Oreochromis niloticus: one gene and its partners. The protein of the gene in region 1 interacts with the protein of each later gene in a pairwise test. Links are inferred from orthologs where the notes say so. Each region holds a gene or a part of one and is shown in the gene's direction. Other genes may lie near its edges. The genes, in order: atf4a, coiled-coil domain-containing protein 106, cebpg and junbb.

The links.
Region 2: the proteins of atf4a (region 1) and coiled-coil domain-containing protein 106 interact in binary tests that used the Homo sapiens proteins (3 or more experiments, as listed by UniProt). The link is inferred for Oreochromis niloticus from reciprocal best matches to the Homo sapiens genes ATF4 and CCDC106.
Region 3: the proteins of atf4a (region 1) and cebpg interact in binary tests that used the Homo sapiens proteins (3 or more experiments, as listed by UniProt). The link is inferred for Oreochromis niloticus from reciprocal best matches to the Homo sapiens genes ATF4 and CEBPG.
Region 4: the proteins of atf4a (region 1) and junbb interact in binary tests that used the Homo sapiens proteins (3 or more experiments, as listed by UniProt). The link is inferred for Oreochromis niloticus from reciprocal best matches to the Homo sapiens genes ATF4 and JUNB.

The regions. Positions count from the first base shown.
Region 1 is NC_031971.2:9,244,970-9,252,930, forward strand, and holds the start of atf4a (cyclic AMP-dependent transcription factor ATF-4), read left to right. Parts: upstream 1-4,489; 5' UTR 4,490-4,671; intron 4,672-5,636; 5' UTR 5,637-5,749; coding exon 5,750-5,798; intron 5,799-6,054; coding exon 6,055-6,369; intron 6,370-7,354; coding exon 7,355-7,961. Other genes in the region: uncharacterized protein LOC106097202, read left to right, coding at 1,048-1,118, 1,210-1,345, 1,666-2,088. UniProt on the Homo sapiens protein: Transcription factor that binds the cAMP response element (CRE) (consensus: 5'-GTGACGT[AC][AG]-3') and displays two biological functions, as regulator of metabolic and redox processes under normal cellular conditions, and as master transcription factor during integrated stress response (ISR).
Region 2 is NC_031976.2:22,629,471-22,637,052, reverse strand, and holds the start of coiled-coil domain-containing protein 106, read left to right. Parts: upstream 1-4,167; 5' UTR 4,168-4,300; intron 4,301-4,723; exon of another isoform or gene 4,724-4,741; coding exon 4,742-4,811; intron 4,812-4,896; coding exon 4,897-4,995; intron 4,996-5,114; coding exon 5,115-5,336; exon of another isoform or gene 5,337-5,430; intron 5,431-5,544; coding exon 5,545-5,601; intron 5,602-5,714; coding exon 5,715-5,996; intron 5,997-6,119; coding exon 6,120-6,290; intron 6,291-6,926; exon of another isoform or gene 6,927-6,947; coding exon 6,948-7,264; 3' UTR 7,265-7,582. Other genes in the region: si:dkey-17m8.1 (C-Jun-amino-terminal kinase-interacting protein 4), read left to right, coding at 751-864, 956-1,054, 1,172-1,261, 1,368-1,486. UniProt on the Homo sapiens protein: Promotes the degradation of p53/TP53 protein and inhibits its transactivity.
Region 3 is NC_031965.2:37,665,489-37,673,949, reverse strand, and holds the start of cebpg (CCAAT/enhancer-binding protein gamma), read left to right. Parts: upstream 1-5,262; 5' UTR 5,263-5,423; intron 5,424-6,978; 5' UTR 6,979-7,084; coding exon 7,085-7,576; 3' UTR 7,577-8,461. Other genes in the region: cebpa (CCAAT/enhancer-binding protein alpha), read right to left, coding at 1-427. UniProt on the Homo sapiens protein: Transcription factor that binds to the promoter and the enhancer regions of target genes. Binds to the enhancer element PRE-I (positive regulatory element-I) of the IL-4 gene. Binds to the promoter and the enhancer of the immunoglobulin heavy chain.
Region 4 is NC_031969.2:8,275,955-8,283,614, forward strand, and holds junbb (junB proto-oncogene, AP-1 transcription factor subunit b), read left to right. Parts: upstream 1-5,039; 5' UTR 5,040-5,394; coding exon 5,395-6,384; 3' UTR 6,385-6,907; downstream 6,908-7,660. UniProt on the Homo sapiens protein: Transcription factor involved in regulating gene activity following the primary growth factor response. Binds to the DNA sequence 5'-TGA[GC]TCA-3'.

The DNA.
Region 1 (7,961 bases):
CATGAAAAATTTTGAATTAGATTAGATTTGCACTCAAAGCAAAAACGAAAGCAGTCCACAATGGGCATGTTAGCTTCAGAGATGCAAGCAGCCTTGTTTGGCGGGCCTGACCAGGTTGATTAACAGTTTGGTTGTCTTGAATTTCAGCTCTGCAAGCTGACTCTGACTTGAAATATAATGTGTTGAGATTTGTAGTTCCTTAGAAATCTTGAGGCAAATTTCGCTGTAAAAATATATAGATCACTAGATTTGACTCAATGTTGTATCATGAACATGCACTCATGGTCTCTAAAAGTATACGTTCAGGGAGGGGGCCATTGAAATTGTAGACCACAGTTCTACTCTGATAAACTTCTTCTGTGTTACATAACTATCTTCAATGACCACCTTCAATTATACTCCCTCTTTTCTCCAGCCAAAGGTTCCAACTCCCTTACCACATCCGACTCCCCTGCCAAGAAAACACATTTCCCTTCCAATCAGTCCTAAGACTGATGAGCCAGGAAAATGTGCTCCCCTGTCTCCCACGAAATCTGGAGAGGTTTGGGTTAAGTTGCCTACACGCTCAGAAATTTAAGCAGTGGCTATATATAAACATATATGGTTGCATTCTAATCATTTTTAATTATTTGGTGGATTGTTTTGTTTTTTTTTGTTTGTTTGTTTCTATTTTAAACTCAGGACATCTGCTCGAGTCCACCACCAGTCCCACCAAAGAAGTGGACTGTTAGAAAGAGTTCAACAGGAAATGAAGTTTTTGTGGAAAAAATGAAGGTACCACTGGTCTATATCTAGTGTGTTTTTTTTTTCTTTCAGCATCTACTCACACAATGAATGCTTTTAATGTGTCACAGAAATGTAGTTTATCTGAAAGCAGTTGAAGTGCATTCATAGAATCTGAAACTGGTGTCTCTGATCAAACTCTCTGTCATGTGAGATAACACATAAAATATGTGCACTGTTCAAACAGGATTAACGTGTTTAAGGTTCATCTAACAAACGTGGATTGTTTCTCTTTTTCTAAGATGCTGGATCAGTGTTTTAAGGATGAAGGTGAACGCCCTCCACTGCCTCCTAAACCCCATCAAATGCAGCTTGATGATGAAAATGAATCCCTGGTAATTACTTAAAATAAATACAGCATTAAATTGATATTAGGTGATTGTTTTGTCATGTTTTAGACACTTTAAATCATTTCTCTTTAATTAGGATGCTGAGAGTCTGTCAAACTCCTACGAAAAGTCAATACGTGAGTAAAAAGATCCAGCTGGCACTAACTGCTGTCGGGGTCGGCGTGGCTGCAGCCGGCGGTGTTACTGGTGCATCAGCAGCCATCGCAAATAAGGTGATGGTCTTTAAGGCACCGCCTTAAAACATCTTTGTTCATGGTTTTTGTAGGTTGATAGGTTTTCCTAACTTTTTAAGAGAAAATACATTTTTAAATCTATTCTGGTTCACTTTTGTTTTTGTTCTTTTGTTAATTTGGAGTTCCAGGACTTCAATCTAAAATGCTGAATGTCTTCTTTTACAGTAATAACTCTCCTGAGATCAAAAGCCCTGTTTTTATGTTATCACAATTTTTAAAAAAGGGTACTAACTGGAAACTACCCACTCTAGTTATCTGAATTTCTAGTATTGAACTGATTGTGAAGCATGTTTTTCCAGGTGAACTGCAACCAGGACCAGAAGAAAATTGAAAAGATCTTTACTGACTACGAGTCACTCAGTAAGGGCATTCAGGAGAAACTGGTTTATGTCCATGAGGGCATAGAGCAGCTGAGGCAGTATGGTGTCATCATGCTTGAGAGGACCAAGGTGAAGTCAGAGAGGGCCTCCAAGGTGCTGGAGTTCTTTGGTCAAGGAGGGCCATGTGCCAAGGTCTTGGAGGCAAACTCCAAGCCATCTGGGATGATAGAAGGCTTTGCCCTCGGCATGGATATGTACTTCATCAAAGGAAAAGATGGAACCAAGGTGAAGAAGGGCTTTGAGTCAAAGTTGGCAAAGAAACTCCGCTCCTTGGCGGTGGATCTCCAGGAACGACTGGATGAGTTCATCGAAATGAAAGAACTGTTTGAGAAGTATTGTTAGGAGGGTATTTTTCTCCACCTGAATATCTTTTGTTTGGGGGTTGTCTTTTAATGTTAATTTTCAGTTTTACGAAAGTTTATTGATCAACATATATTTCCTCTTTGGCAACAGGTTCGAAAACAGAACAAAACTTTTAGTGCAACTTTAGGAATTGTAACTTCAAGCAGTTTCTTTTAAATGGTTTATGGTTATTAATGCTGTATAAAACTGAGATTGTGTTAACCTCCCTTAATTTAGCTGTTTTCACCTATTAAGATGAGTTAACACCTTAAGATAAGGTGTTATGCAAACGCATTGTTAACCCTAGAACACTATCGCTGGGTGATTTACACCCGAGCAAATACATTTACATGATTTCTCTCTCCTGCAGCTGTTTGTGTGTCGAGGAGCCTGTGCCTTCACCAGGGAAGTCTCAAATTTCCCAGGAATGGGTGGACCAAAGACCAGCTTTCCAGAGTCATTATTTTGTTTTAGGAGGGTTGTTTTTTTTTTTCATTTTGTTAGACATGGCACAGTTGAAAGTAAAAGAAGACCACTCTAATTTGTCATGTGTTGTCATATTTTGATATATTTGATTACTTTTTATTGGTTATATTATATCGGGTAAAAATCACCCGGCATTAGTGATTGTGTTACTATTTATAGCGATAGTGTTCTAGGGTTAAACGCAATCGAATGACATGTTTTTTAAAAAGACTACTAAATAAACCGATTAAAGATCGACAAAATCCACCAGGGGGCAGTGTAGTCCTTCTTTTAAAAAGTTTCAGCTGATGCTGAGTACACATTTTTAAAATACATAGACTTTTATCATTCCTAGCTTGACTTTATATGTGGTATAGTTATACATGTCGCATTTAAAAACAATTTACACAAAAATGTGAGTGGTTGTTAACTGGAAGCTTAAAATGAAACATTTTAAATGTTACTTCTCCATAAAGTTACTCAGGCACCAGACCTGACTGTGTGTCATACAAACCATATGATAATTTACAGAAATGCAGTCAAACCCTTTCTCAGTGTATAATCAAATATTTCTGCCTATCATTCTATCATTCAATTTTTGACTGATTAACCTAGTTATGCTATAAACTTTTTTACATTTCCACTCTATCATTATCATTTTCTTTGAGTTGTGAAAAATTTGTCACTTGAAAAAAAAAGAGTTTGGGTCCAAATTAATTTCACCTTCAGAACCAATAGTGTCTTATTGAATCCCTTGCAACAGCATAGTTAAGGCTCCCTCATAACATGAATAGTTAAAAATAGCCATGATCAGAAATGGTCTCTTTTACTTCCTGATACCAGTCTCACATCCTTCACCTATCGTGGGGGTAAAATCTCAGTGACATAAAAACGACAACAAAAACTTGGAAAGAGAAACTGTTTTTGGAGAACCACAAACCAGACCCAGGTGTACTTTCAGATCCGCTGTCCTGCAGCTTATATCGGGATCTTTCACCCCTATTTCAACTATGGATGGAGGTTGTTTTATCTATGTTTGCCTTATTATCATTCCTTGTTTATTACACCATGGCTGGCTCTAACAAGTGTATCTAGAAACAAAACTGAAGATTTTATTCAGACACCAATTTTGGGTTTTAGGGGGCTGCTCTAATATTTGGCTTCAACACCATCTTTGGTTTGAAAAAAGAAACAGTGCATTTGAGCTACAATCAGCATTTTATTTACCTCACTGACTACTTTGACAGTCATCTAAAATGATATTTTCCCTTTACAAAATTATTCCAGCCACATTAAACCATCATGTAGGGTGGAAACAAAATAATTATGATGAAATGTATGAAGTGGGCCTCGCTCTGTAGTCTGCACAGTCTTGTTCAGTCCAAATAATAGTCACCAGGCTTGTTCGACCAGAGAAAGACTGCTTAAAATGACAAGGGTGTGACCCTACATTTGTTAGACATGAGCAGTGAATCATGTCCGTCTGTATGTGAATAAAATATAAAATGGGGCACGCTGTGATCTAAATTAACCGTCGACCTGTTAAAACAATAGACACCTGCGCTCCAGTACAATGAATATTATGGCAAAAATGCGATTTGAAAGGTTTTGTTACAAACAATAAAACAGCTCCAGGCCCATAAAATACTGCCTCGTCTCAATGTTTACATTCTGGATTTGACCTATATTTTACGTCACAGCATCCATGTGGATCTACTTTGATGCGATTCATCCAACCAGTTACAAACATCAGTCGGGCGGAGGGATCCCACTCGCAAAAAATGTTCGTTTGTTTAAGTTAACCAGCATGGTCGAGTGGCCACGCTTTTGTTGACTGTTGTGAAGACCTCCCACTCGCGCTGCTGGTTTCACAGTGAACAAACGCCCTCGCGCTGGGTGCGGAGCGATATACGCAGCAGTACTTCGGCCATATATAACCCCCCACGCGACGGCTCGACCTGTTCTTCGTTCGTACAGCTCCTGAAGTAAACACACATTACGCGTAGAAGCTGTAGCGGGCCAAAATGGCAGTGTAGAGGCGTGCGGCAGCTAACCTTGCAGCGGCAACAAACCGGCAGTGCAACGGCTACGTGCACTGGCTTTTTCTGGCAAAATGGCGTAAGTAATTTTTTATCGACATTTTTGCAGTCTTCTAAAGAGAAAAAAATTATAGCCACTTCTTGTAGTAACTAATCTGTCAACTAGAATGTGTCACTGGCTATTAAACTTGTTGATCAAGGCTATTTGTTTTTGTGAAAAAAACTTGCTAAGTGTGTTTTGAGTCATAGTTCCTTGTTTAGAGCTAGGGTGTCAAATTACAGTATACCAGCTGAAGTAGTCCGAGCCGGCGCCTTACTTTGTGTTGTGAATCATGCTAACGAGCCGTCGATTGGGCACTGAAAACATTTTAGACTTCTCATTTTAATTTTTAATTTTCTTCAGTGGCTGCGACACGGTTGTCAGTGTGGTACTAAAAACATTTTTAGTGTTTTGTATACGTTTCACATTGGCAACGTGGCGTCCAAAATGGCGCGCGCTGTGGGTTTTTAGCTCGTTCCCCGCCTCGCGCAGATGGCTCTGTTGTGAAAATGGCGGTTTGCCCTCCCACATCTCCGCCATGACTCATAGGCGTGGGTGGAGTTACCAGCTAAAGCATGACCAAATTAGGCAAAGTTATCCCCCCCGGTGGAGGGCGGAGTTTCCCATCAATACAGCTTTGACGCTCAAGGGGAACGGATTAGCCAAAATTAGACACCCCCCTCCCCCATGACAGGGATGTCAACTCCTTTTAATGACCCTAGTACATACTACCAGAGAAGCCTACATTGTCTGCACAAGGGTTGTCAGTCAAAAATGTGCTTGTTTCAGGAAGTACACCTGCACTGGGGAAACTTTGCATTTACAAATAAACTTGGCCCTGCCAGACATCAGATTTTCATAAAGTTTGAATATATCATTTCACAACTTCTGACAATAAAATGTGTCACTTCATTTTAGTTTCCATATGAATCAACACTAACATTTGCTTATATTCCTCATTTTTCTCTCATTAACATGATTTCTGTTTTCTTCCCTCCAACCAGGTCTCTCCCGGCAACCACCCTCAGCTTTGCTGCCGTCGACAGCATACGTGGACCTCTCGACTCACCATTGTTCTTGTACACCTTTTCACGGCTACCACTGACCAGCAGCAGCCATGACTCTCTCCCAGCTAGCCCTGGAGGACGTGGAGGCCCTGTACTTAGGTGTGTGTTGTGATGACACACATTGCCAAAGCACTAGTACAAACATTGCTGAATGTGGCGCTTTGTTTGCATAACATTTGGTAATGGTAATACCATTCCCAACAATACTAAAGCCAATGAAGTACAGTTTCATATGGTCAGCATGGCATTATCTGTAGATGGGTTAGATGTTTTAGTGAGTTATTGGATGAATGACAGATTTGTATGTATTGGATGCCCCAAATTAGAAGTTGACGGGCTGATCTTTTGTTCTCAGGGCCCTCCTTTCTGATGGCTGACCCCATGGGGCCCCTTCTGGACCAAGATGAAGAAGAAGCTCTTTCTCCCTCCTCCCTAGAGGGGAAGGCGCCAGCTTCGCCCTCCCTTTCTTTGTCCACTTATCCATCCTCCTCGTCCCCTTATCAGACCATGTCTTTCTCCCCGCTGTCTTTGGCCTCCCCATCTCCCTCTCCTCCTCCCACTCATTGTTCCTCGTTCCTGGGAACCAAGGCCGGAGCGGACTCGCTGTCCCTCTCCTGGCTGGGTGCCGGCGACCTGCTCGACGCCCATGTTGGAGCAGATGATGGCAAAGGTGAGTGCCTTAAAATACATGTTTAATGAGCAGGGGGCAAGTCCTAAATTTTAACAATTATTTTTCAAAAGCAAATAATTTGACAAGTTGTTGAACTGAATAGAAACCAAATAAAAGAAATGATGGAAGGTTACTAATTGGAGTATGTTTAGGACCAAACTACATCTTCCGCTCTCATTAGACTATAAAGTTGGGAGCATTTGTTGTGCTGTGAATATTTCAGAGGAGAGGCCCACTGTCAGTTAAGTATTTGAGGTTTGCCTGCAGGCTGAGGGCTGACGTTAAGGCCGTGGGTGAGCAACCTGGATGTTTGTAGGGCAACAAACTTTTATTGGTTTGAGTGGCGGGTGTGGCTCAGAGTTGTGCCGCAAAGACCGGCTCAAACTGGTTTTGTTAGACGTCATTGTGCAATAACACATTTATCCCTTTGTGCTTCCTGGCATCAGTTGAAGTTCCTTGTTTTGTGGATTTAGTCTCACTTGAGTATTTGTAAACGTCAGACACATAATCGAGGGAGAGATCAAATATGTGCCTGAGGTCATGTGTTGAATAGGGTTGGGTTATAAAGTCTCAAAACATCATCGCAATAGTTCAAGGAAATTTGTGATGTTTCTGACAATATAAAAAAAAATAAACACTTGATGTTTTGTTGATGCTTGCAGCCAGCAGCTATCGTAATATTTTTGGATATTGTATCTTGGGTCAAGATTTTAAATAGCAGCTTCCACCGTGTAACCACATCAGTAATTTACATCCGTGCATTGCTTTTTCTGTGATATGTAGTAACATGAATATAACCCACAGTGTTGATATTGTCATACGGCTTTTTAAATATGCTGTAAAAATTGATGCAGTACAATTCACAACCCTGGTATTTAACAAATAATTAGCTGTATGGAGTATTGCATAGAAATGATTCACTGTAAGAATAATCATCCAAATTTCTTAATGTTTATTGCGAGTATTAATGAATAATATCTGTCAGCAGATGATGCTTTTGCCGGCATGGACTGGATGTCAGAGAAAATCGACCTGAGTGAATTTGACCTGGAGTCTTTCATTGGATCCTGCTCCTCTGATGAGTCTCCCAGCTCCCCTGAAGATCTCCTGGCTTCCCTGGACTCCTCCATGGATTTAGATCTAGATGCCTTTAACACAACCATCCCCGTCCCACACAGCAGCCTTGAGCTGAGTTTGCCTGTGCCCGACATTCCCAGTCCCCCTCTAGAGCCCTCCCTCCCTGTGGCACCTGAGGTCAAGAAGACGGAGGTTGCTCCTGCTCATGAGGTTAAATCTGAACCTCCCTCTCCATCTCCCCCATCTCCAGTCTACACATTGGAGCTGGGAAGCGAAGTAGATGTCCTGGATGCTGACAAGCAGACCACATCCCTCACCATCATCCCAGACCCCAGTGGAAGCGTTCAGTCGGCCCCCATTGTGCTCTCCATCCCCACCTCTGGTCACTTTGTGGTGGTGCTCTCCAACAAAGAAGAGCCCTCCCTTGTATCTCTCCCCGATCAAGCTCTTAAAACCTCTCCACCAAGCGAATGCGACAGTGACTCTGGCATTGAGTCAGTCATTGGCTCACCCGT
Region 2 (7,582 bases), on another chromosome or scaffold:
GTCTTATGGAGTGATGAAGGCAAATTTTAAATTTCTTGCTCCAATTATCATCTGTATGTACGGAGAAAACTGGGAGAGGGGTACAACAACAGCCATGTAAACTATGGTGGAGGCTCTGTCATGGTTTGGGACTACACTTCAGCCAGTCGTGTTGGAGCTCTTGTTAAAATCGATGGAATTATGAACTCGATGCAGTACGCTCTGGAAAGCATCTGATTGGAAGCAGCTTCATCATCATGACAGTAATTCCAAACACATGCAGTAAAAACATGGCTGGATAGAAAAATACATGGTGGAACATGGCTTGCGAGAGCCTGGACCTCAGCATTAGTGAAGCAGTGTGGGGTCATCAAAGAATTTAAAAAAAAAAAAAAAAAAAAAGGCAGCCAACATTCAAAGGAGAGCTTTGGAGGCCCTTTCAGAAGCCTTAATAACTACTCCTGAAGACTATTCTTCAACACAGTCTGAACTCTCGTAGAAGCTTTCTTGTAATTTGTCGTCATATAAGGTGGTCATACCAAATATTGACTTTGAAGCTTGTAGGCTTTATTGCCTTATATACAATATTTCCATGTATGTACATTTCAATAGATTGCTGCCCCTTTTTCCCATTTTCCGAAGAAAATATAAAGAAATTAGGGATGCAGACTACTGTGTGTATATTTTATTGATTATTTTTGTTCTACATACATTTTGTTTTATGACCAACCACTTTAGCTTCAATCTAACCAGTTTTCTCTCTCTCCACAGGCCAGCCCTTCCTGACACTCTCACCTCTCCAGATCTCCTCTCTCACTGTTATCTGTGGCCGTTTGTGGGTGGGCACAGGAGGTGGTGCCATTTTCTCCATCCCCTTGTCCATAAGTATGTTTAGCTTAAGAATGCCTGGAACTTAAAGTTATTTGGTCATAAATGGTCTCAGTGTACTATTAACCATATTACTAACTCTCTGCAGCTTCAGAGGATGTTTCCATCCCTTACTGCTCCACTGCATCTGCCCAGCTGTGTTACCATGGACATAGACAAGTCGTCAGATTCATCATTGCTGCACCCGGTAAGAGTTGGATAGCCATTACATGTAACTTCTTAACAATTAAGAGAGATGCTTCAGATTGCACATGCATGTTTTTTTTGTGTTTGAGTGACCACAAAAAATGTTCGTACCTGTCAGGTTGTTTGATCACCAATCCTGGCAGCAGCCATGTCACTACTGCTCAGCTTATCCTCAGTGGAGGAGAGGGCTACATCAACTTTCGAATTGGTGAGCTGAAGAATAATAAAACTGTACTTAAGTCCGTCTCATCTATTACATCATTTGTGCACTACTTGGACTATTTAGAGGCTGACAAAGTCCTCTTTGTTTCCAGGAGATGATGCAAGCGATGACTCGGAAGAGGTGTCCCAAGCCACGCCACAGCGATCTGAACGTAGTCACATGATCATCTGGCAAACTCCCACACCACCTGTGCCTAACCCTGCACTCTGAGCTTTTTCATCTCACACGTCCTTTTCCTTCAGCGCAGTGCTGCTGCCCAATCTAGAAGCCACGCCAACTAAATTAATTGCTGTACCTGAAGTTTGAACCACTGATGTCAGCAGCTGTGTGAGAGTGTGAGAGGGACTAATGCTAGAAGTTCTTCTGACTCAGTTTATCCCAACTTATCCCAGGTTTAAACCTGCCGGAATTCTGGCAGCTCTCTTGTTCCCTCAGCACCAGCACTCCATTGATGGAAAGGAGGTAACTGTTCCACGCTTCTCACCTATGATGAAGATGGAGCAGACTCAACAAAGCATTGAAACGGATCTTTCGTGGAACTAAATGAACCAACATCTTAGTGTGGTAGCAATAAAATACCATTTAAAGATATGATTCATAACAATTCATACTTGTTTACCTCATATATATTGTACATATCTTTTGATATCTAATTATCCTAATGGATCGTGAAACCTTCCCGTGTGCCTTCATCTCATTTTATATCACTGCTGTATAATTGGTCAGTAATTCAGCTCCCTGGTGGCTAATAGATCTTTACCTTTGCCCTAAAAATCAATGCAGTATTGCTGACTGTCAGCTGAATAATACATTTTTCTCTCACTTGGTGGGAAAAAAATGTAGAGAGCAGTCGTGCATGCATCAAAAACATTTAAGCTGGTGATGTGGCTTCTCTCGTAGCTGCTGTGTACATACTTTGTTGTTAATTGTGAACTGGAGACAGGATTTTGGTCTCACACCATAAACACAATTAGACATTTTATTGTTTTGTAAAGCTCCATCTTTTGTGTTGTATATTTTTGGTATTCCTGCCATGAGTGTTAACTCAATTTCTACCCCTGTCCACAGTGCTTGAGGTGTCTGTATTGAAAATATGTCCACTATCCCCTCGCTTAAAGGAACAACTTCAGAAGCTGTCGTTAAAAATTATTTATTTTCTCAATTGGCTATTTGCTTGCCGTCTTCCATTGGATGTTGTGCAATTCTTTTAATTTCAGTTATGTTTGGATTTCTGTTCTTTTTTTCATTGTAAAATAAGGGAGATAAAATCTTTCAAGTGTCCTTTGCAGTATTTATATGCAGTTTGTGCACACATGTTGATGTCGTAGCGGCTCTGTATCCTTCTTGAAAAGATTTGAAACTATGTTTTGACTCAACCTTGTGCAAATATGATTATTGTCATTAAAATGCCTTCAGCTGTTAATGTACAGTCCTTAGCTTTGAGTGATTTTGCTGCCATAATCTGGTCCAGCAATATGACACAAGTAAATGAATGAATAATTTTCAATTAGCACTGGGAGACAATGTTGCAGATTCATCTCTTTAATCTCTATAAATTATTCCTTTTATATATTAGGTAAAGATTAAAGAAATTATCATAGTTTTCCTTATAGAAAACAGCATAACAAATCTTTTTTTTTTTTTTTTAAGTAAATGAGGTGGTTTCAGCAAAGGAAGTGTTTGTAAAGAGAACGACAAACAGTAATGACACTCCTTTGCCTCAGGCAGTCTGGCCTGCTGCCTAAAAAAGGACAGCTCAAGTCAGTTAGTCTTTGGTCCAGTGAGGCCTCTCTACCTACGTCGGACTGCTTTGGGTCCTGGGCAGCCGTATCCTGCGACTCAGGTTGCGGGCAAGTCTGTCCACAGCTCCACCCACAGCTCCACCAAGCTCTATTTTGGAGGTTAGACCCTCAATGTTTCCACTGTACCACATGACCCAGCCTGCTAGGGAAAACAGCACCAGCAGAGCTCCCGAGTACACCAGCAGATCCCCAAAGTCTTGGCCTTTGATCTCCAGTGGGGCAAAGACCCCCAGCAGCAGGGATATCACACCCAGCAGGTCCATCAGCACAGCAAACACCAGAGCCACCTTACAGTGGGACAAGCCATCATACTTCGGTGCCATTACTGCACTGAAAGAAAGAGGGAGGGAAGCCTGTTCCTTTAACATATCAGCTTTTATATCTTTTGACTCCATAGTTAAAAATATATACATAAAATATTTAAACAAAGTCATATTTACAACATATCCCTGATTTTCACACATCTCTACCTAAAAAGAATTTTAAAAGAAGCTAACAATATTAAAAAAATGTATATATATAAAAATAATTTGAAAAAATGGGAGTAATGCTGATAGCACTGTTTATACCGGCCATGCTACACTTATAACACCTGTGGATGCGCGTTTAACGCCCTTTACAAACAGATTTTATAGTTTACATGAGCTAAAACAACATTTTACTAAATAAAAAGCACAAAAAACAAAACAGAACACTTACCTCCTTCTTACGTTGTTGAGTACTTAAAATTCAAATGTTTCTATTGGAAACTGCGCTTTTGTTGTCCTTCCGCATACAGTTTGTCAGAAGCGACCAGTCGACAAAGCTGAAACCTGACACCTCGTCACCTGTTCAACCTGTCCTGTAGTTTTCCTACACCGGAGAAAAAACAATGAAATGTTTCGAAACAAGTGAGTGGAAAAGTTAGTTTAAAAGTGAGAAATTTCCCAAATATCTGGAAACAATATATATTTTATATTAATATACCTAAACGTTTACTCATATATTTAACTACACGCACGCAAATGCCGTTATTAAAAAAACGACCAAAACATTTTTTTAAATAAAAGTATCTGCAGCGGGCGGTCATCCGGAAGTGACGTAGGAGTCTCAGTAGAAAAAAAACCCCGATAATTGTTATTGTTAGCTTGTTAGCTAGCCGACGAACTGGTGAAATGGAGATATGACGGAGTTATAACGTCTTATTACATGTGCAAGACTAAGTTATTACAAACATAAAGTGGTATGTAACAGTTTCTGCAGATGATATTCGTAACTCGGGGATTTTAACAATGTGAGAGTGAACTCATTAAACTTGAGGGTGCAGAAAGAAAGGGATTGTAATTTTATATTGTAGCTAATTTTTTGTGCTAATATTACAGGACGCTAACATAGGGCTCTCTTCTGAGCGCCGTAGCAGGGCGCTACAAACTTATATTTGAGTAATACAATCAGTTTCACTGTTTTAGCTTCTAATTGCATGGGAGAGAGCTGTGTGATAAAATTAGCTATGCTTTGTAGGCTCACTGCGTATGCATAAAGCACAACACCCCCACGTTGTGAGAGGTTTCCGGTGAGCTGTAGCTGTTTAGATAAATGTGAGCACATCATCACTAAATGTAAGAAAGTCACTGAAGACACCTTTTAAACTGTGCACTAATCAAAGGTTTGTCTGTGGTGTGAGATGGAGGACGGAAACAGGAATGATGCTGCGTCCACATCCAAGAGCCACGCAGGCTCACTCCACCTGCAGAGTAAGATTTCGAAGTGGTCCCAGCACATAAGATCGTCCTGTCTTTGGGTCAAGCATGATAATTAATTGCTGTTGTCTCTTCTCAGCGCCAAAAAATGAGGACGCCTATGAAATTTCTATCCCCTATGAGGAGGGCAACTTTGAGCAGCAGGGATTTTTTAACCAGAGTGATCAAAATTTTGATGGTGAACATCAGCATCAATACTTTAAATCTACTCTACAATAACTTAATTCCATACACACAATCTCTTGATGTGCATTATTAGTTATTGGCCAGACTAACTATACCATTGGTACTCTTCAGAGTCACCGTCATCTGCTGGACCATCTCCAGTCAACAATTCCTACATGGTGATCACCAACCTGCGGACCCAGCTGCAGATCTCTCTGGAGAAAAACTCTTGGCTGCAGAAAAGAATTGAGGACTTGGAAGAGGAGAGGGACTTCCTCCGTTGCCAGCTGGACCGCTTCATCTTTTCCACAAAGAGCCAAGGACAGGAGCAGAGTCAGAGCCAATACAGTAATGGTGAGGACAGGGGGCAGGTGTGAGTTAATAACATGTCCAACAGTTTCACCAGTGGTTAATCCATGTAGGGGACTGGCAGCTATCCTATCTGTCACTGGGGGAGAAGATGGGTTCATTAATGTTACATGGTTAATGAGAAACAGATTTTTTAGCAAGTCTATTAGAATCGAAAATAATTTTTTATCTCTTGCTATTTGTTTCTCTTAAGGATATGAATCAAGACGATTTAACTGGAGGGCAAGAAGAGAGGAAGATCGTCCTGCTGGTAAAAATTTGAAAAGTCATAATTAGATATACCCAAACAGCCTGTTAATGTTATACTTTATTTCATATATTTTAGCTTAGCTTGCAGATTCTCAGATTTCCTTCTCTTTATAGAACAACAGAAGACCGACTCTCAGCATTTCCCCTCACGTCACTTTATGCAGCGAAGGCCTGGTCCTCCAACTATGGTGACTTCAAAAAACCACGTGTCCAGTCCATTGACCAATCAGCTTGCATCTATGAATGCTCTCTTCAACTCCACACAATCCCAAGCCATTTTGCAAGGCCATAGCCATAGTACTTCCAGTACCACAGCCAGTGGCAGCAGTGGCAACAGTAGCAGTGCTGCAAGGTCATCCATGAATGAAATGAGTGGGCACAGCAACGTAGGTCCAGGTAATACACATGATACGGCATAAAGCTTTGCATCACCATAATTAACTGAATGCAATCAGTGCTTTTAATATGTTGTCTTTTAACTATTGTGTTTAGTTAAATAGAACATTTTTGTCTCGTTAGATTCCATTTCACTACTGGGAGAATCAGATGAGTATCTTGAGCAGGATGGCTACATTGAGGAGGAGGAGGAAATGATATCAGGGGAAGATGTGATGTCAGACGCCATTAACAGCAACAGACACCAGTTAAAAAGAAGGCGGGTCTTCCGACCTCCAAGAGAACGACAAAGAGGTGAGGAGAGGAAAATCTCAACATTTAAGTGTCCTTAATACTGACGGTATCTAAAAGCTGGACATAGCTTTTGGGTGTCATTGACTGATTAGCAAAACATAATGACAGAGCAGAGAAGGAGCAAACTAACTGAAACCAAGAGGCGATTATAACAACAGAACACACAACATGAACCACAACAAATCACAAAACTGATAGCGAATCACAAAAGGCCTGGGTCCAAGACAAGGGACCACGCTAGTGGGTGTCTTAAACCTGCATTCTTTCTAATGACCAGCAGGCTGCAATTCCTAGTTGAAAAAAATTTTAACCCATAAAAAGAATATACTTGATTTCTGATGAGTTGATAATTTCAATTGTTAGTTTCTAATCTTGTTAAATACAGCATTAGGTTAATTATGTAAAATGTGATCCCACTTAAAATACAATAGATGACAAAATGTAGGTATGATTTAGTGTGTGGATGCCTTTTAACATGCAAGTCGCTGCCTGTGCTATGAGTGTGCAGTGCCCTCTCTTTCTCAGTCAGATTTGTGATATCTGGCCACAAAAATGACAAGTTAATGCTTAAAAACAGCATTTCCGTCTTTTACATACTATGGTCATGAGTTGCTCATGAGATTGTAGCTGACTCACCTGTGTGTTTTTCTTCTTCAGTGAAAGATGCTGCTGGAGTGCTTTTCCGTTACAAGAAGATCCTACTTACATACCAGCGACTAAAAAATATGTCCAAAGCCTTCCAAATTCATGGCGTTGACCGCAACACAGTGGCTTCTACCACGCCCATTGCTGAGCTGCTGCTAGTCGCCCCAGAGAAGGTGGCAGAGGTGGGGGAGTTTGACCCATCCAAGGAGAAGCTGCTGGATTATGCCCGGCGCTGCTACACTGCCCTGGATGAAGAGACACTTAACAGAGTCCAAGCCCTGAAGAAGAATAACCTGCTTCTGCCCATCTCCTACAGGTTCAGACACTAAGGAAAGAAAGAGAGAATAATGGGCGATCTCCCTAAACAATAAATGTGGTTTGAGTAGTAAAAAGAAAGGCAGTTGGGTTCTGCTGCAGCAGGCTAGCTCACCCCCAAGAAACAATATTCAGATCATTTTATTGTTATTATTTATTATTATTTTGCTGTCTCAGCAATCTGGTTCTGGCCCCTTCACATGTTACTTTTACAAACATCCTACACGTTTGTTGTTTGTCCTTCGACAAATCTTCACTGCAGTGGGTATTAAGGATGTGGGGGTGCCTGCTGCAGACAGAAAGAAAAAAAACAAGCTTCTGTTGTTGAGGCC
Region 3 (8,461 bases), on another chromosome or scaffold:
GGGGGTGTGGGTGCGGGTGGTGGTAGGTGGGGGGCATGCCCGGGTTCATGTCCTCGTCGTCCCGGGGCTCCTGCTTGATAGCCACCGGTCGGAGGCGTGGAGGATTGTGCTCGTAAAGCGGCTCCATCTTAGACTCCATGTAGTTGGACATGTAGAGCTGCTGGGGCCCCGGGCCGCAAGTCACCGGGTCGTACTCCCCGTTCATCATTTTGAGCTTGTCCTGTCGGGAGCTGTGGTGGAACAGGTCAGCCAGGAAGTCGTCGTTGAACGCTGATGGGTCGATGTAGGCGCTCAGGTCGATGGAGGTCTCGTTGTCTCCGATCTCACCGCCAAGATCTGCCGGGTCTCTGTAGCCGGAGGAGGGCTGCTGGTTCAGGCTGTTCATCAGGGGTCGAGGTGCGACCTCGTACAGGTTAGAGAGCTCCATTGAGAATCTAAACCCGGGCAGGCATGGCGATGAGCTCCGGGAATCCAGGTTGCACAAAGTCGGGTACTAAGGTGAGAGGGGGTTACACAGCTGCAAGCATGCGCTGACCCAAAGCTCGGAGAGACTGTGACGGTTGCAGTGGCTCCGTTTGTACGCGGAAAGAAGCGGAATGAAGCAGCTTCAGGCTTAACTCTGCTGGGCTGATTCCTCCTGCTCAGTAAACTCCGAGCTGTCAAACTGCTGTTATATACAGAGAGGGAGAGGGAGTGGGCGGGCACACGTGCCCGCGCGCGCGCACACACAGCCCTCAGTCTTGCCAGCTATCTGCACGGGAACGCTTCAGAGTCAAACTCGACTCAAACTTTTATCACACACAGCGTCCTGCGCTCCTCTCTGCGCGCTCTGCTCACACATCAGCGCCAAAGCTCAGGCTGGTGAAGACACGCTGAAACCACCCGGAGCAGTTAGAGTCGGTCCGCAAAAGTCACATTAAATATATATATATATATATATATATATATATATATATATATATATATACATATATATATATATGTTTACAAAAACAAATATTGACAAAAATTAATAAATGCTCTGGATTTCAGACGCTCTTCTAGACCGAGCGCGCTGGTGTTCAGCGCGTAACACGATCAGCTTGAAAACCTGTTTTAAAAGAACTAAATTCTTTTCTTTAATCCCCGGGCAGTCTACACCGGGAGACTTTATCTCTGAAAGGAGGGAGCGGCACCTATCAGAGCAGGACGCACAGACTTTATGTGCAAGTTATAAAAGTCGTGAACATCTTCTGGACTTAGAACACGTCTGATGTTAAATAGAATGCGCACTGATGCAAAAACCTGTCATTACTTCATTATAATATGAATATATACCGTCAAGTCCCTGCAAGAAATAACTTCTTTTCTTATTGTAATGTATTTTTATTTCCAAATTCTAAGTCAGGAAGATCCAACACTGAGGCATATTTATTATGACCTGCTTACAATGTTAGATGTGACTTGGGGAATCTGCTTGGATGAGGACGGGTGAGCAGCGCGGAGCAGTGGGGGCAGGGACGGCGGACTGAAGAGCAGGACTGCAGCGCCCTCTGTGAGCAGCAAACAGAGAGATCTTCGTGTTGGGAGCGATTTAAAGCTGCTTGTTTATTTTGTATTTTTATTCCATGCGTATATTTTTACAGGTTTTTGCTTGACCTCCATTTGAAGACAATAATCTGCTTCTTTCTGACAGCCCAGCGCGACTTCTGTCCTTTTTGTAACTGCTGCCATAAAAGTGATTTAGGAAAGGGCAGCTGGAAACAGTAGCACTGAGAATAAAATCAGTGGCTTATAAATGAGGTTCACATTGAGGATGTTGGAATAGAGAATCCTTCGGGGGGCATCTTTGGTTCATTTGAGGAATTTTTAAGCAACCTTGAGGAAGCTTTAGTGGTCCTCAGGGTCTGACTTTTAAAACTAGTGTTGACGGACTCAGCTGGGAAAATGTGAACAACATTTTCTGTTGCACTGGGAAGCTCTTCAGGCCAGAGACTTTCAGAAGGAAGTACCAAGGGTCCTTGAAATGATCTGGAGGAACATGTGTTTTTAAGGAAACAATATAATAATTAAAAAAGTTTAAAACTGGAAAAAATAAGTGTGATGTTCCTAAACTTCAAAGTCAGCATGTTAAACACAAACTAGAATACACAAAAACGCTCAGACAAATATTTGAAGAGCTTTTGTTTGCTTCACTGCAGCTCAGCTGTCAGCACGGTGCGAGGGTACCTCAGATCAGGCCAGCACGTGGACCTTTGACCTCTTCGATCACACGAGCGATTCCTAATACTGCATTCAGCCTTCATTTGTTTTCAGTGACTTTACTTTCATTTTAACAGCACTGGTGACTCTCTGTTGAGCTGAGGCAGCCCTGACCTCAATGACATCACACCATTGTCACCAGTGCTATCAGTGTTGCAGCATTAGTGGTCCTGTACACATTTTCTGCAGCAACAGTGTGGTTGGACAGTAAAAAAAATTAAAAATCACATTGTTTCCAGAAGCAATGTGATTTGAATTTAAGTTGACATTAACCAATCAGACCTGAGAAAGCAGTTTACCAAAAAAGCAAACACTGCACTGGAGTCATGAGTGACAGCTTCGAATTCCACATGGACAGCTGGCCAACATTCACAGCATATTTCCAGACATCAGCACAGTTTGGATGCAGCGCCTAGTGAGAGCAATGCAATGTTTGGTCACGTGACCAGGCATCACTATTACCAAACCTCATGTTGTGTGTGTCTTTGTGGCTGCTTTCAGTCCAGCTCAATTTCATTTATACAGTTAAGTCCAAAAGTTGTTGGACAGTGACTGTTTTTTTGGGGGGGTTGTTTGCCTCTGTACACCACAACAGTGAATTTAAAAAATGAAGCACAGACTTTCAGCTTTAATTTGGGGGGATTTACCAAAAGTACTGAACTAACTGTACTGGAATTACAGCCATTTTATGCACAGTACTGACTTTCACAGGACAATTGACTGACAAGCTGCTTCATGGTCATATGAGGCCTGTTGTCATCTTATGTCATGTGAAATAGTCAGATATAAAATCTGTTGTTAAGTCCAAGAGTTGAAATTGCATTTGATAGCTGGACTTCTCAATGTGGCATCTCAGTGGAAGTGAGGGAGGCCATCGTTCCGCTGAAAAGCCCAAATAAACAGCAAAGACTTTGGTATTGGCCAAATCAAAAATCTGGTGCATTGTTTAAAAGAAAGAACGCACTGACCAGCTCAGCAACACCAAAAGATCTGAAAGAGCATAGAAAACACCTACAGTGCATGATGACAGAATTATTTCCATGATTAAGAAAATACCTTTACAACATCAGACCCAGTCAAGCTCACAAGGAGGGGGCAGAGTCACAATGAAGACTGATAATTAAATGATGCATTTGCAAATGGAAATACAGAAAGTTTACAACAGGTCAGACTGTCAGTAAACATCTAAAAGAGCCTGAAAAAGATCTTGGGACAGATGATGGTTGTTTAAGAATGATGGCCTGGGCATGTATGGCTGCAGTTGAACCGGGTCATGGGTGTTTATTCATGATGTGGCTGCCAGTATAAGCAGCAGGATGAACTGTGGCGTGGTTTCTAGACTTTAGGTAGCCACCCGGTGCAAAGGATTTTTGTCCAGTTATTAAAATCCATCCTAATATTTACACTTAGGAGCCTCTGGAAATGGGAAGCTATGTATTAAAATGACAGTCAATGCACAAGTTTTGTTAAGTGAAAGCTGAAAGTTGCACTGCAATCTAAGGCTACGTTCACACTGCAGGCGAAAGCGCATCAAATCCGATTTTTTCGCCCCTATGCGACCCGTATCCGATCTTGGTCTGACAGTGTGAACGGCACAAATCCGATATTTTCAAATCCGATCTGGGTCACTTTCGTATGTGGTACTGAATCCGATACGTATCCGATGTTTTAGAAAGCGACTGCTGTGTGAACGGTCAAGTCGCATTAAATCCGTCTTTTACGTCACTGACACAAGACAGACGCCAATTATCAGCGCCGGAGAAGCGCCCGATAGGACATCGCGAACGATTTCCTACCATCCGGTGAAACTGTTGGGAAGACAACGTTGGAGAAATGTGAACATTTTATTTTTACTGTATTTTCTGCAGATTCTGACAGAAATCTGCAACTATCCTTTGAAGCACCGCTCCTCTAAAACAGCAAAAAGGATCATTATTAGGTTATCTACATTATTATGTAAATAACAAAATAACTTAAAGCAAAAATCTGGAAACGTAAAGTCCGAAGTCTTTATATTAAGGGCCATCAGTCAAACAATATTGTTTGCTCTGGGTCTAAACAGAGCGAGTTGTGTGACATCTTCTTTTGCGCATGCGGGCCGCTTTGAGCGTTCACACTGGAGAGCGTTTGATGTCGCATTTTATGTGTAGTGTGAACAAGCAGACAAAAAAATCGGATTTGATCAAAAAATCGGAATTGAGCATTAAGACCTGCAGTGTGAACGTAGCCTAATGTTCCACAGAAGAGGCCTGAAGCTGTAGGCTCTGCCTCCCATTCCACTTTTGGAAACTCTAGAAACCACATGTAACCACAGCCTGAGAGAAAAGTGCTGTCAGGATAAATTTTTGTCTGTTTGTTGTGGGTTTGTATCTTCTTTTTATCACTTTTATCACCCGCTTTTTTAATATTTGGGGTTTTTGTCTTTTTTTTTTTTTTTTTTACCTTTTGAAGTTGATCTTTTGTTTTTGTTTGTTTGGGGCTCAGGTCCAGGTGACCTCTGACATCTCGGGGTCTTTGTCTATACATCCCTTCATTTATATTCTCTGGTCACGATTATTATAAATAAAAGCGCTTTGGGTGCCTTGAAAAGCGCTATATGAAATCCAATCCATTATTATTATTAAAACAGTAATTACATTGTTTTTGTGTGTTCCTGGCAGGACCGCGGTTTCATTAAGTGCTTGTGTCACCTGTGAATGTTCTCCAGCTGTTTTAAGGGGTTTCTTCGTACACACGGACATCACAATAGTTATTATAGTGACTGAAGGAAGCGGGAGCGTCGTTACTGAAGGTACGGCCGCTTTGAGAGTGAGTCTCGTCATTCAGAGATGAAGTCATACGTGTTTCAACTCATCTGACCAGCCTCGGTTACATAAACAACGCCGAGAGAAGATAGCAGCGTCTCATTGGTCCAAACACGAATCAATCACAAAGAGCATTGCATCACTCCGCCGCACACTCATCGGTGATTGGCCAAGCGCCCCACTCGCTGCCACCTACTCGCCTGTGATTAGCTCATCCTGGACATTGCCGTACATGGTAAAAGAGATTTCGCAATCGGTCGCTCTCCATGTTACAAACAAAAACAGTCCGAGCTCATACGGACGGGATTAAACTTCGGTTTTCTAGGGAAACTTTCTCATCTTTTGACGGACGGTTGAGCCCGCCGCCTCCCAGTGAAGGTAAAATCGTAGTTTTCTTTCTCTGTAGGTTCGAAACAGCGAAGCTGGCAGTGAACTGATGGCTGTTAGCGACAGGAGCTAACCCGCTAGCTGGCTATGCGCCCGGCTAAACAGGCAGTGTTCGCGTTCGTTAAAAGAAAGCTGTCGTGTTTCGGGCCAAACTAGGCTTAAATCGACGCCTGTCTCAGATCGGGAAAGCTCGACGGTCAGTGGTGAGTCGGTGAGTTGCCTGTTGGTCGCTTCGAGTGAACAGAAAGTTGTCAAAGTGTTCGAAAATTAAAGTTTGGGTACTTTAAAGCGACGTGTTTCGGATCAGTCCGCCTGTTTTGATCTGTTTCGTGTGTTTTCATATTTGTCACACGTCGGTGAAGTCACCAGAAAGCGGTGGTTTTGTGTGTAGCCCCGCATGACTCTGGAGTTCCCCTGTCTTCACACAAAGAGAGCCGCTCGTGATGATGCAACAACAGGCAACCTCTCCGCTGTTTCACCCGGAGCGCTTTCCGCTGCGCACAGCTGACTGGCTGCATAGCAACGCCCCAGCCAATCAGAGCGGCGCTACTAATTGGCCGTGCGGAATAACAATCTGAACAATTATGGTATCGCAGTGATGGAGTAGGAGGAAGAAGATGGTGATGATGAAGCCTCCTAACTGGAGCTAGAAGAACGCTAGGAAAGTGAGGAAATGATGTTCAGAGCTGGAACTTTGACTGACTGACTGACTTCCACCTTCCAGAAATGATAGAAACACATTAAAATGGCTTGTCAGTCCTTTCGTTGCAGAAATAAAATTTAAAAAATCCCTGAACATTTCTGGCGCAGAGCTGCAGAGTGAAATCAAAAAGCTATCAAGTCTGACAAATGTTCAGTGTTTGCACTGTGAAGCTCATATTTAGCAGGACCAGAGCCTGCATCCACTGGTGGAGCCACCGAAAGACGCCAAAGCAGAATCCATAATACCGCCTTTGTGCCCATTTGCGTAGGCGTCTGATTAGTGAATTGATATGGGATATTCAACCAGCACAGACATGCTTGCAGGTGAGTGATGTGTTAGGCTCAGGTAGAATGTTGATTTGGTTAAAAAGTGGGCTTGAACAGTAAGAGATCGACAGGAGGTTCACTGCATAGAGGAAGAAGAGTGGAGAAAAAAATAACAGATCAAAATGATGCGCACAAGTCTCGAGATGCAGCTGTATGATATCAAAGACCACCAGGACGCTTTTCACTTCCTGTCAGCGCACAGGAAGCCAGCAAAGACCGGAACCTCTGACGTTAGGTACCCTAACCCTAATCAGATGGTGTTGTTCTTTCATGTAGATGATAAAAAGTCACCAGTACTTTACTTATTAAAATACCAAATAAAGTCAGTGAAAGGGACGTACTGTGGTTCAGCTGAGGCCTCCACTCCAAACGCGTGGACAGAAACATCTGCACACAGCTGTCTCTGACTTCTTTGTCTTCTTACATGTGTGGTGTTGTCCATGGCTAGTCTGTAGCTTAGTGTTTGCTTTGATTCTGTGTGATGTGCTCAATTAATCTGGTCTGTCTCACCCTCCAGGCTCTGTCCATCTGCAGGACCATCTTCTTTGCTTCTAGTCTTCTATTCAGCTCTACACCTGAGGAGACTCTGGTCAAAGATCAGCACCTGTTGGCAGCACATCCAAATGAGCCGGCCGTCGCAGCCGAAACTAACTGCAACTGACCACAACGGCGTGAGTGTCATCCAGAGCCAGGCCCACGCTGCTTCTTCGTCCCTCCCGGCAGCCGTAGCCGGACTGCAGCAGGTCCCACAACTCGTCCCAGCAAACCCTTCAACCGGAGGTGGCAAAGCCCTCGCCCCCAGCAAGATGAAGAAACCCCCTGCAGACAAGGACAGCGAGGAGTACCGCCAGCGGCGCGAACGCAACAACCTGGCAGTGAAGAAGAGCCGCATGCGCAGCAAGCAGAAGGCGATGGACACGCAACAGCGCGTAAACGAGCTGAAGGAGGAGAACGAGCGGCTCGAGGCAAAGATTAAACTGCTGAGCAAAGAGCTGAGCGTGCTCAAAGACCTCTTCCTGGAGCACGCTCACAACCTGGCTGACAACGTCCAGCCGTCGGCAGGCGCGGAGGGTTCCAGTCCCGCCCCCAACAGTACCTCCACCAATGGGCAGTGAGGAGGGTAACCACCAGGATGTTGAATATCTGCAGCTTTTGTGGAAGCTTCTCCCTTTGGGAACGAGGCCCCACTTCTTCTTCATGGCTTTTTTTTTTTTTCTGATTATCAGTTTTTATTTAACCTCTTAATAATTCAACACCATCATCATCCAGTTCGCCAAAATAACCGCCAGTGTTCCCACCGTCTACCCAGAACAGCTGGAATCATTTTAGAAGAAAAAGCTTAAAACATGTTTTCTGGAAATATCTTTTAAAAATTGAAAAGATCCACTGAAGTGTGACTTTTAAAATTGAAAGCCAGTTAGTCTGTGATGTTTGGCTGGAAGCCTCCAGCTGTGTCATCGCTCCTCTGATTGACTCATTGATTTGGGGGAACGTGATGCGATGTGAACTCGTATAAACTGAGTCGTCATCTGTCAGGATTCTCTGGAACAAAAAAAAAAAATCACCACACATTTCCTGCATTTCCTCTTCCTGGTGGCGGAAAACCCCCGGTTCAGTCTGATGAAGACGGCCGTGGCCATCGCTGAGTGCTCCGCAGCCACAGGATGGACTTGTAAATGCTAAAATTCCCTTTTTCAGGATGTGTATTTTCTTCTGTTCTTCTACAAAGAGTTTGTAAAACAAAAGTGTTTTTATTGTTAAGTACATTCACTACATGTTGATGTTTTAAGCACAGTTCTGTTTGTGTGTGTGTGTGTGTGTGTGTGTGTGTGTGTTTGTTTTGTTTTTTCATGACTCGTGTTGTTTAAGATCAGAAATGGAAAAACACTTTTATATCTGACTCTGAGTGAAAACAGAGGGAGGGTTAGGGTTACAGACACACACACACAGACACAATTATCCTTTACTGGGTGGTTTTATTAACATGTTTGAGTTGCACA
Region 4 (7,660 bases), on another chromosome or scaffold:
AATGCAAAAATATATCTAGAAATCTGCATAGATACACATCTACTGAATAAAATATTTCAAATGCAAAAATGACTTTGAATCAAAATCACAAATCTGAACATTTTCACTGCGAACACTTTAGTCTTTGTTATATCCTCCCTTCTTGCAGATGTTCACATTGTGGTTAAAAAAACACCACACACTCATACTCCACCCCGAGTGATATACGTGCTTGTTCACACACACACACACACACACACATACTTAAGACACATACACTTTTCTTATTCTTACCGTAAACAGCTTCCTCCCACCCTCAGGCTTTGCCTTTCCCAAACTCACCCAGGATCCCGAGCAGGTAACACTCAGTTGGTTTTGGCAGTCATCCATGTGATCCTGACTGTTTAAACTGAGTCTGTTGCCAAGCAGCTCGTCCTGCCCTGGAACTCTTTGAAAGTTTGCCCAAAAATATGCATAAAAAAAATATGAACACTAAATCTTAGGGCTGGTTTCGGGTATTAGTAGAACTCCTGTACAAAAAAAAAGCAGAACTTGAAGGTATTTCTATACTAGAGTACACACACAATCTTAACAGACTAAACAGAGATGTGACTAATCAAGATGTGACTAAGATGTCGGACACGTTTTTTTAAAAACGATTTTTATTGTTTTTGCAAAAGATGAAACCGGTTCCCTTCAACTAATCACCACGTCATCACTTAGAGCTAAATCGACCCAAATTTCGCAGCTCTTCTGTTTATAATTGAAGGTGGTGATTAATAGAGATTGTTCTGAGCAGAAGCAAAATCACATATTAGACACGCCGTACATCTGTCGCAACATTCACACGTTTGTCTCTCCCACTGCTTAGCAAACATTAGTGCTTTTGACTAACATTTGGCAAGATGGCACGGTGCCACCTCACGAGTGTTCCCGTAAACACTCACCGCTCTGGACCCTGTGCTGTTGTTCTGTGCCAAAATGTCACTGGAAGTGTGGTCAACCTCAAACCCCAGTGCTGAATAAAACCTAAACCCAAGCAAGAGCAGAGCATCAGAAACAGGCAGCTGCACAGAGGACAGAATTTATAAGGGAGGTGGCAAAGTGGAGGCAAGACACTGCCAGGAATTGTTGTTTTCCTCTGTTTAGCCATATTCCCATGGATACTCACAAAAAGGCATAGAGTTAAAATAGTTGTTCTGAATACCAGCAAATTACCTGAGATGAGGTAATTACAATCAGGCATGGAGAACCTAAAAGTGGTGATTTCAGTTAACTTTCCCAGTCATGTCAAGAATATAGCAAACGGCTGTCAACGGTAAACGTTCTCCTTTCTGTGACAGGTTTAAAAGCTCTCTCCGCTTTAGGCCTAAACACCACTGACAATGAGTTTTTAAAAGGCAAATACATAGTATTACAGGGTGGTGGCTGTCACTATTCATACCCAAAGGGAAAACCTGTTGAAAGCTTGATTCAGCCCCCCTCCCCCTGCTCTGGCACAGGTCGGAAATACACTGAGAGGTGGATTCTGCGGATGAGAAAGTCACAGATTAAATAATCAAAGGTGTGGCTGTGCTTGTTTTGAAATATACAAATATGACTGTACTCTTGTGTAATTCTTGTGCTGGGTTTTGTTTTTGTTATACAGCACAGCCTCAACCACCAAGGTGTAAACTTATACTTTTCCAGGCATGCTCGTGGGAAAGTTGGGCTAATTAACTCTGTTTTAACTAACAGATGGAAAACTGAGAGCGGGGGTTAGCTTGCCGTCCCCTCACAGCAATTAGGTCCTGGGTTTGAATCCACCATCTGGCTGGGGCCCTGGGAGTTTGGATGTTCTGTCTCCAGGTGCTTCCACTCACAGTCCAAAAAAAAGCATGGGGTTAGGTTAACTGGTGATTCAAAATGGGCTGTAGGTGTGAAAGTGAGTGCGAATGGTTGTCTATGTCTTTGTTTTGGCCCTGTGACAGATTTGGGACCTCTCCAGGTGGACCCTACCTCTCTCCCTTTAACAGCTGGAGTAGGCTCCAGCCTCCCTGTGACCCTGAAGCGGATAAGCGGAAGCAAATGAATGGAGGGAAAAGTGATAAGAGTAAGAGTAAGCAAATGGTTGATAATAGCAATAATAAAGGTTTGTGTTAATGTGAGGCATAAACTGTTCTATATAGATACAAATCTATACATTTATTAAATAACAATAAATAGAAACAGCTATCTTACTACGATGGATAAATGGGTGAAACATCCACCTTTTCCAGATTGTAGTCACAGATCACTGATTTTAGACCGCCTGTTAAAGTCTCAGCTTAAAGCTGAGTGTGTCCACACAGGAAGTGACTAGCAGCTAACTGGAAACCTGAGACCACAGAAAGTCAATGACATTCGGTCACTTCAAGTGAAAAAAAAAACGGTTGAAAAAAACCCTTGTGACGCACAGTGGGTGCGTCCCAAGATAAACATTTCTCAAATTCAACGTGAGCTGCTAAAGCTAGCTCACTTGGTTAGCAAACTGCTGATATGAACAATTAAAATGCTATTATTTTTCTTACCAAAACCTTGCACGGTCCTTACCTTACAGAAGGCAATATTATTTATCAGACAGTTCCATTAAAACTCCTTTAAAATGACACGAACAGCGAACACAAGAAAGCTGTTAGCTAAAGCTGCACATGCTAGCAGCTGTCACAACTTTCATAATGCAAATGGATGCGTTATGAAAAAACTTAACAGTACAGATGTTATTTATGTGGAAAGTCTCCATAAAGACCAGTGACCTTTGTTATACCACGATGGTTTTTAATGTTGTAAGTTGGTATTTTAACATGGAGGTTTATGGAGATTGGCTCACTTTTAGAAAGCGCCTCAAGTGGCCATTAAAGGAACTGCATTTCTGCACTGTCATTCTTTCTGAGCCCTTGAGGTTGCTGCCTGGTAGATGTAAAAATGCAAAAAAAATAAGTGTGTTGTGGTTGTATGTCTCTTTTAACAAGTCAAGTTTCAGTTTAAATTCAGGTCTGTCCAAGCACATAGAAACAGTAACATATTCAAAGGAATTTGACACTTTTGGCACCAAACTTCACATCCACGTCTGAATATCTGACCAAATCTGAAATGTAGTTGCAGTCTCCCTTTCTGTTCCTGAATCAGGAAACTGAAAGATTCCAGATTATGATCTCACACTGAGGCTGACCTCTGACCTTTTAGAAATTAATGTCAGAATTGCATCCCATCAGACATTTGTGTGCCATTTAATATTTCGCCTTAGAATTCTTGAGTTTTGGCTAAGACTGTGTTTTTGCGACATTGCCTAATTCAAATCAGGTGAACCTTGAGTCCAAATGGATGTTTGTGCCAAGTTTGAAGAAACTTCCTCGAAGCACTTCAGGAGACAAGTTCGCGAGAATGGGTGGAACAAGTCTACAGATTTAGCAATAATCTGGAAGCATAACACCTGCAGTCATGGTTGCTGTCACTGCAAAGGCATAAAAATCACTGTAACAATACCTGCCTTTATTAATTGTTAAGTAATATCTATTTTATAATCCTTTTAATGGGAACACATCTGGAGCATGGTGGGTGGTGTGAATATTTGATAGGGTTATAGGCGGTTTGTCACACTGATCATCTGCACATGTTAATGAAGATTCGAGAGCCAGTTTTTGTTATATGCTTCTGTTATTGTAATATACATTCTGCCACGGCCTTGTCTTCAGTACACAAGACCAGAGATTCATCCCTCAGGAACAGCCAGAGGATTTTGCAAAGCATCCTACCTGACTTGATTTGTGTGTAGAGGGATGTGGGATACAGTAGTGAAGGCAGTGGTGCTTGATTGTGTGGGCGTTGGAAGAAGTACAAACAGGAGACAAAGGTTTCCTTCTCCGCTACTGAGACAGGTGCTCTATTGAGGAATCATATTTCTTTTCTCTCAACGCTACGATCCTACCGAGCAAATCACAGTAACTCTACATGTAAATCTAAACAAAAGAAAGAAAAAAAGGGTGTTTTTGTTTGGTTTTTTTTTTAATGGCCTTCTGACATCAAAAGGGTAAAACACTATTTGTGAATCTTGCCCGGTGTAATCCCCCCTCTTTGGCTGTGTTGGACAGAATTTCCTCAGTTTCCTCTATTTCATGATCAAAGCTGTTTACTTCAGGCGACATGGCCAACATCAGCATCCTATCAGATTACTACAGGAGGAAGTGTTTGCTCTGTGGCTGATCACAGTTTTCTGCTCCGCTGATGTGTGTCACTGCTGTGTGCTTTCAGGCGTCACTTAGAAGTGGAGCAGTCAAGTCATTTGAATATATCATGTCAATACCTGTGAACCCCCCCGAAAAAATATATGAATATTAACACAAGTTAGGATGTGTATTTTCATGTTTTAAGATGGTTCATATAAAATAATGAATGTTATTTTTCTAGAAGAACTGAACTTATTGTCTGAGGCAGAAAGTCCCTAACTTGCCTAGCCACATGGATTTAGACAGGAGCAGGAATGCTGCTGGAATGAGGCCTGGAGTGGGCCTGGCTTCCCGGTTGTCCAGAAGAGGAACTTATACGTCAGTGTGCCCATATAAGGAGTCTCGACTTCCTCCATGGGACCGATTGCAGTAAACAGCTGATGTTTGTTGTATATTTCATACCCAATGGATCCAACAACAGATTGCGCGTGAACTAATGGGCATCCCATGAAGCTATAATGACATAAAATGAACCCAAACCGGCGCATTTAACGCAGTTTTAAGACACATTAAAGAACCTACAAATGAATTAGAAAAGCAGCGATTTGCTCTAACGGAATAATCTCACCTCCTCGCTTACCCAACAACCATTTATTCAGCCCATAAACGCGCAAAGTCGTGCATAAATACGTCGGACTTTTCTATTTCTGACATTGGTCTCCGCTGCGAGCCCTCCTCGGAGCGCTCTCTTGCCTACAGGCTTGTTTACAGTCGCCTCTTCCCGGCATTAGCGTCACTTGACGACGCACTCGATGGGCGCGGAGACACACACTCTGTCCAATGACAGCGAAGCACCCTATATAAAACGGCGCACATGAACCCGCCTGAACACACCTCAGCAAGCACCAAGACAAACACAGCGGCAAATAGGAATTGCGAGAAAGAAGTTTTTGTTTCACAGGATTTTGAAGGAAAAAACCACAGCAAACAGGCTCCGGGAAAGACTTTTGAAATCCGCTGATACTGAACTCTTGCTGGACTTTCACTAGTTTGTTTCCTTTGCTCTTCATCCTCGAGTGATTTTCATTTTTTGAAATTTGGAAACACTGTTTAAGAGAGACTACAAGTGCCCGATTTGATGCATGCTCTCTGCTGACACTGACTTTTGTTGATTACCCAGAGACTGTGTTTCTGTAAGCGGCCGGTAAGCTCACTTTTTTCCTACGACTTTATGTCTACAAAGATGGAACAGCCTTTTTATCATGACGACTCTTTTCTGTCGGCTTACGGCCACTCAGACGCGGCAATGCACGACTGCAAACTGCTAAAGCAGAATATGAATTTGAACTTGACAGAGCCCTATCGCAACCTGAAATCCCAGCTGAGGGCCGAGACAGACCTGTACCAAGGGGGCCAGCAAGACGTGGGGTCCCTGAAGCTCGCATCCCCAGAGCTCGAGAAGCTCATCATCCAAAACAGTAACGGTGTGATCACCACTCCCACCCCGGGCCAGTACTTCTACAACCGGGGCATCACCGATGAGCAGGAGGGCTTCGCTGAGGGTTTTGTGAAAGCACTGGACGAGCTCCACAAGATGAACCAGATGCCCCCCCCTAACGTGTCCATCGGAGCCGGTGGAGTTACGACGTGTTCGCCGGCGGCCTCTAGCGTCTTCGGCTCCGCCTTGCAGCCCGAGCCCCCCATCTACACAACACTGAACGCCTACTGCCCGAACACGAACCTATCTTCCTCATCCAGCTACCCCACAGCCACCATCAGCTACCTGCCGCCGCACCAGCAGAGCCACCACCAGCAGAGCTCGACGCACGGCGCGCACGCTTTCCAGCACACCCTCCCCGTCTCCGGACTCCATCCGCAGCGGCTGGTCGCTCTGAAAGAGGAGCCTCAGACCGTGCCCGACCTGCTCAGCAGTGACGGCTCGCCTCCGATGTCCCCGATTGACCTGGAGACCCAGGAGAGGATCAAGGCGGAGCGCAAGAGGCTGAGGAACCGACTAGCCGCTACCAAATGCCGGAGGCGCAAGCTCGAGCGCATCGCCCGGCTGGAGGAGAAGGTGAAAGTTTTGAAGAACGACAACGCGGGGCTCTCCAACACGGCGTCGGTCCTCCGGGATCAGGTAGCTCAGCTCAAACAGAAGGTCCTGACACACGTGAGCAGCGGCTGCCAGCTGATGCTCACAAGCAAGCTGGAGGCGTTTTAAAAATACCAGAGACTACTAAGAAGAAAAAAAAAAATGACTGAAAAGTGATAACACTGGAGTCATGTTCTGCATGCGCAGCACTGGAATTACCGGCTCGTGTGTAGTCAGCATCACAGGGCCGAGGGCTAGGTGTGGACGATACTGAAGGCTATTTTAGGGTGAAAAGACTGATTGTAATGGTACTTCCGGATGCTGGACACCCCTCACAGGACCATTCAACCCTAGAATCCAGGGCAGCATCCAGACTGAGCAGACACTGAGCAACACAGTGGGCGCACATGCCCATAAGTCGGGTTTACTAATGGTAGAAAATGGGAACGATAATTTGTTTTACTTTGTACCATCTTCCTTTTCCCCCTTTGTTTAGTTTTTTGTTTGTTGGCTGCATTTATTCATTGTGTAAATTATTTCATGTGTCCGGTTGATCCAGACAAACTGATGATGTCCAATGTTTACAGTGTCTCTTTTTTTTTAAAATTGTGTTGTATATTTAAGTAAAGTGTCTCAAAAATGAAAAATGAAATGGTGGAGTTGAGCGTTTTTGTTTTCACACATCTACACATAATTTAGAATAACAATAACAACAACAACAACAGCACCGGGAAAGAGTGGGAAGAGCAAACGAGGTTTTCTTTCCTACCATACTGTAACCATAACAGTTACTATAGCTCCCAGTGAGGAACTCTTACACAAGCACATTCTGGTTGCGGTGTTTTTACGCACAGAGCGTAGCTTGCGTATGTAGGCCTTTCCTAATTACGCAGGGGCTATCCATATATGGGCATACTGGTGACTACTTCGTCACAGGGGAGGATTTCTGGGAACCCCCGCCCAGGTAACGCAAACAGGTTCCTCCTCACTCCCTCTATATACTGTATCGATAAGATTTGCGAACTTCATGAGGGTGGCGGAATTTCCTTTTGGTTATTGTGCAATTGTAAAATAAAGTGTTTAAACGGGAAGAGAGCAAAGTGCGATCCTCTTATCTCTTATCAGCTAAACAAGCTAAACAAGAGCTTGGCGTGATAACAGGAAGCAGTAATAAAACGGCTGTGATCGTGGTGCTTTTTAATATTGTTATTTTTTTAATATAATAAATGAAGATTCTTAAACTCGTACGCTAGCCACCTATTGGTGGCGCTCGAGCCTCAAAGTTGTTGCAGCATTTTTTAGGTGTCAGTGTAATTGAAAGATCGCACACGACGGGAAGTGACAGTGACTTAGTACCTTCAGGAATGCCGGGGGCGTCTCAAGATGCCACGCCGGTTGGCAGAGC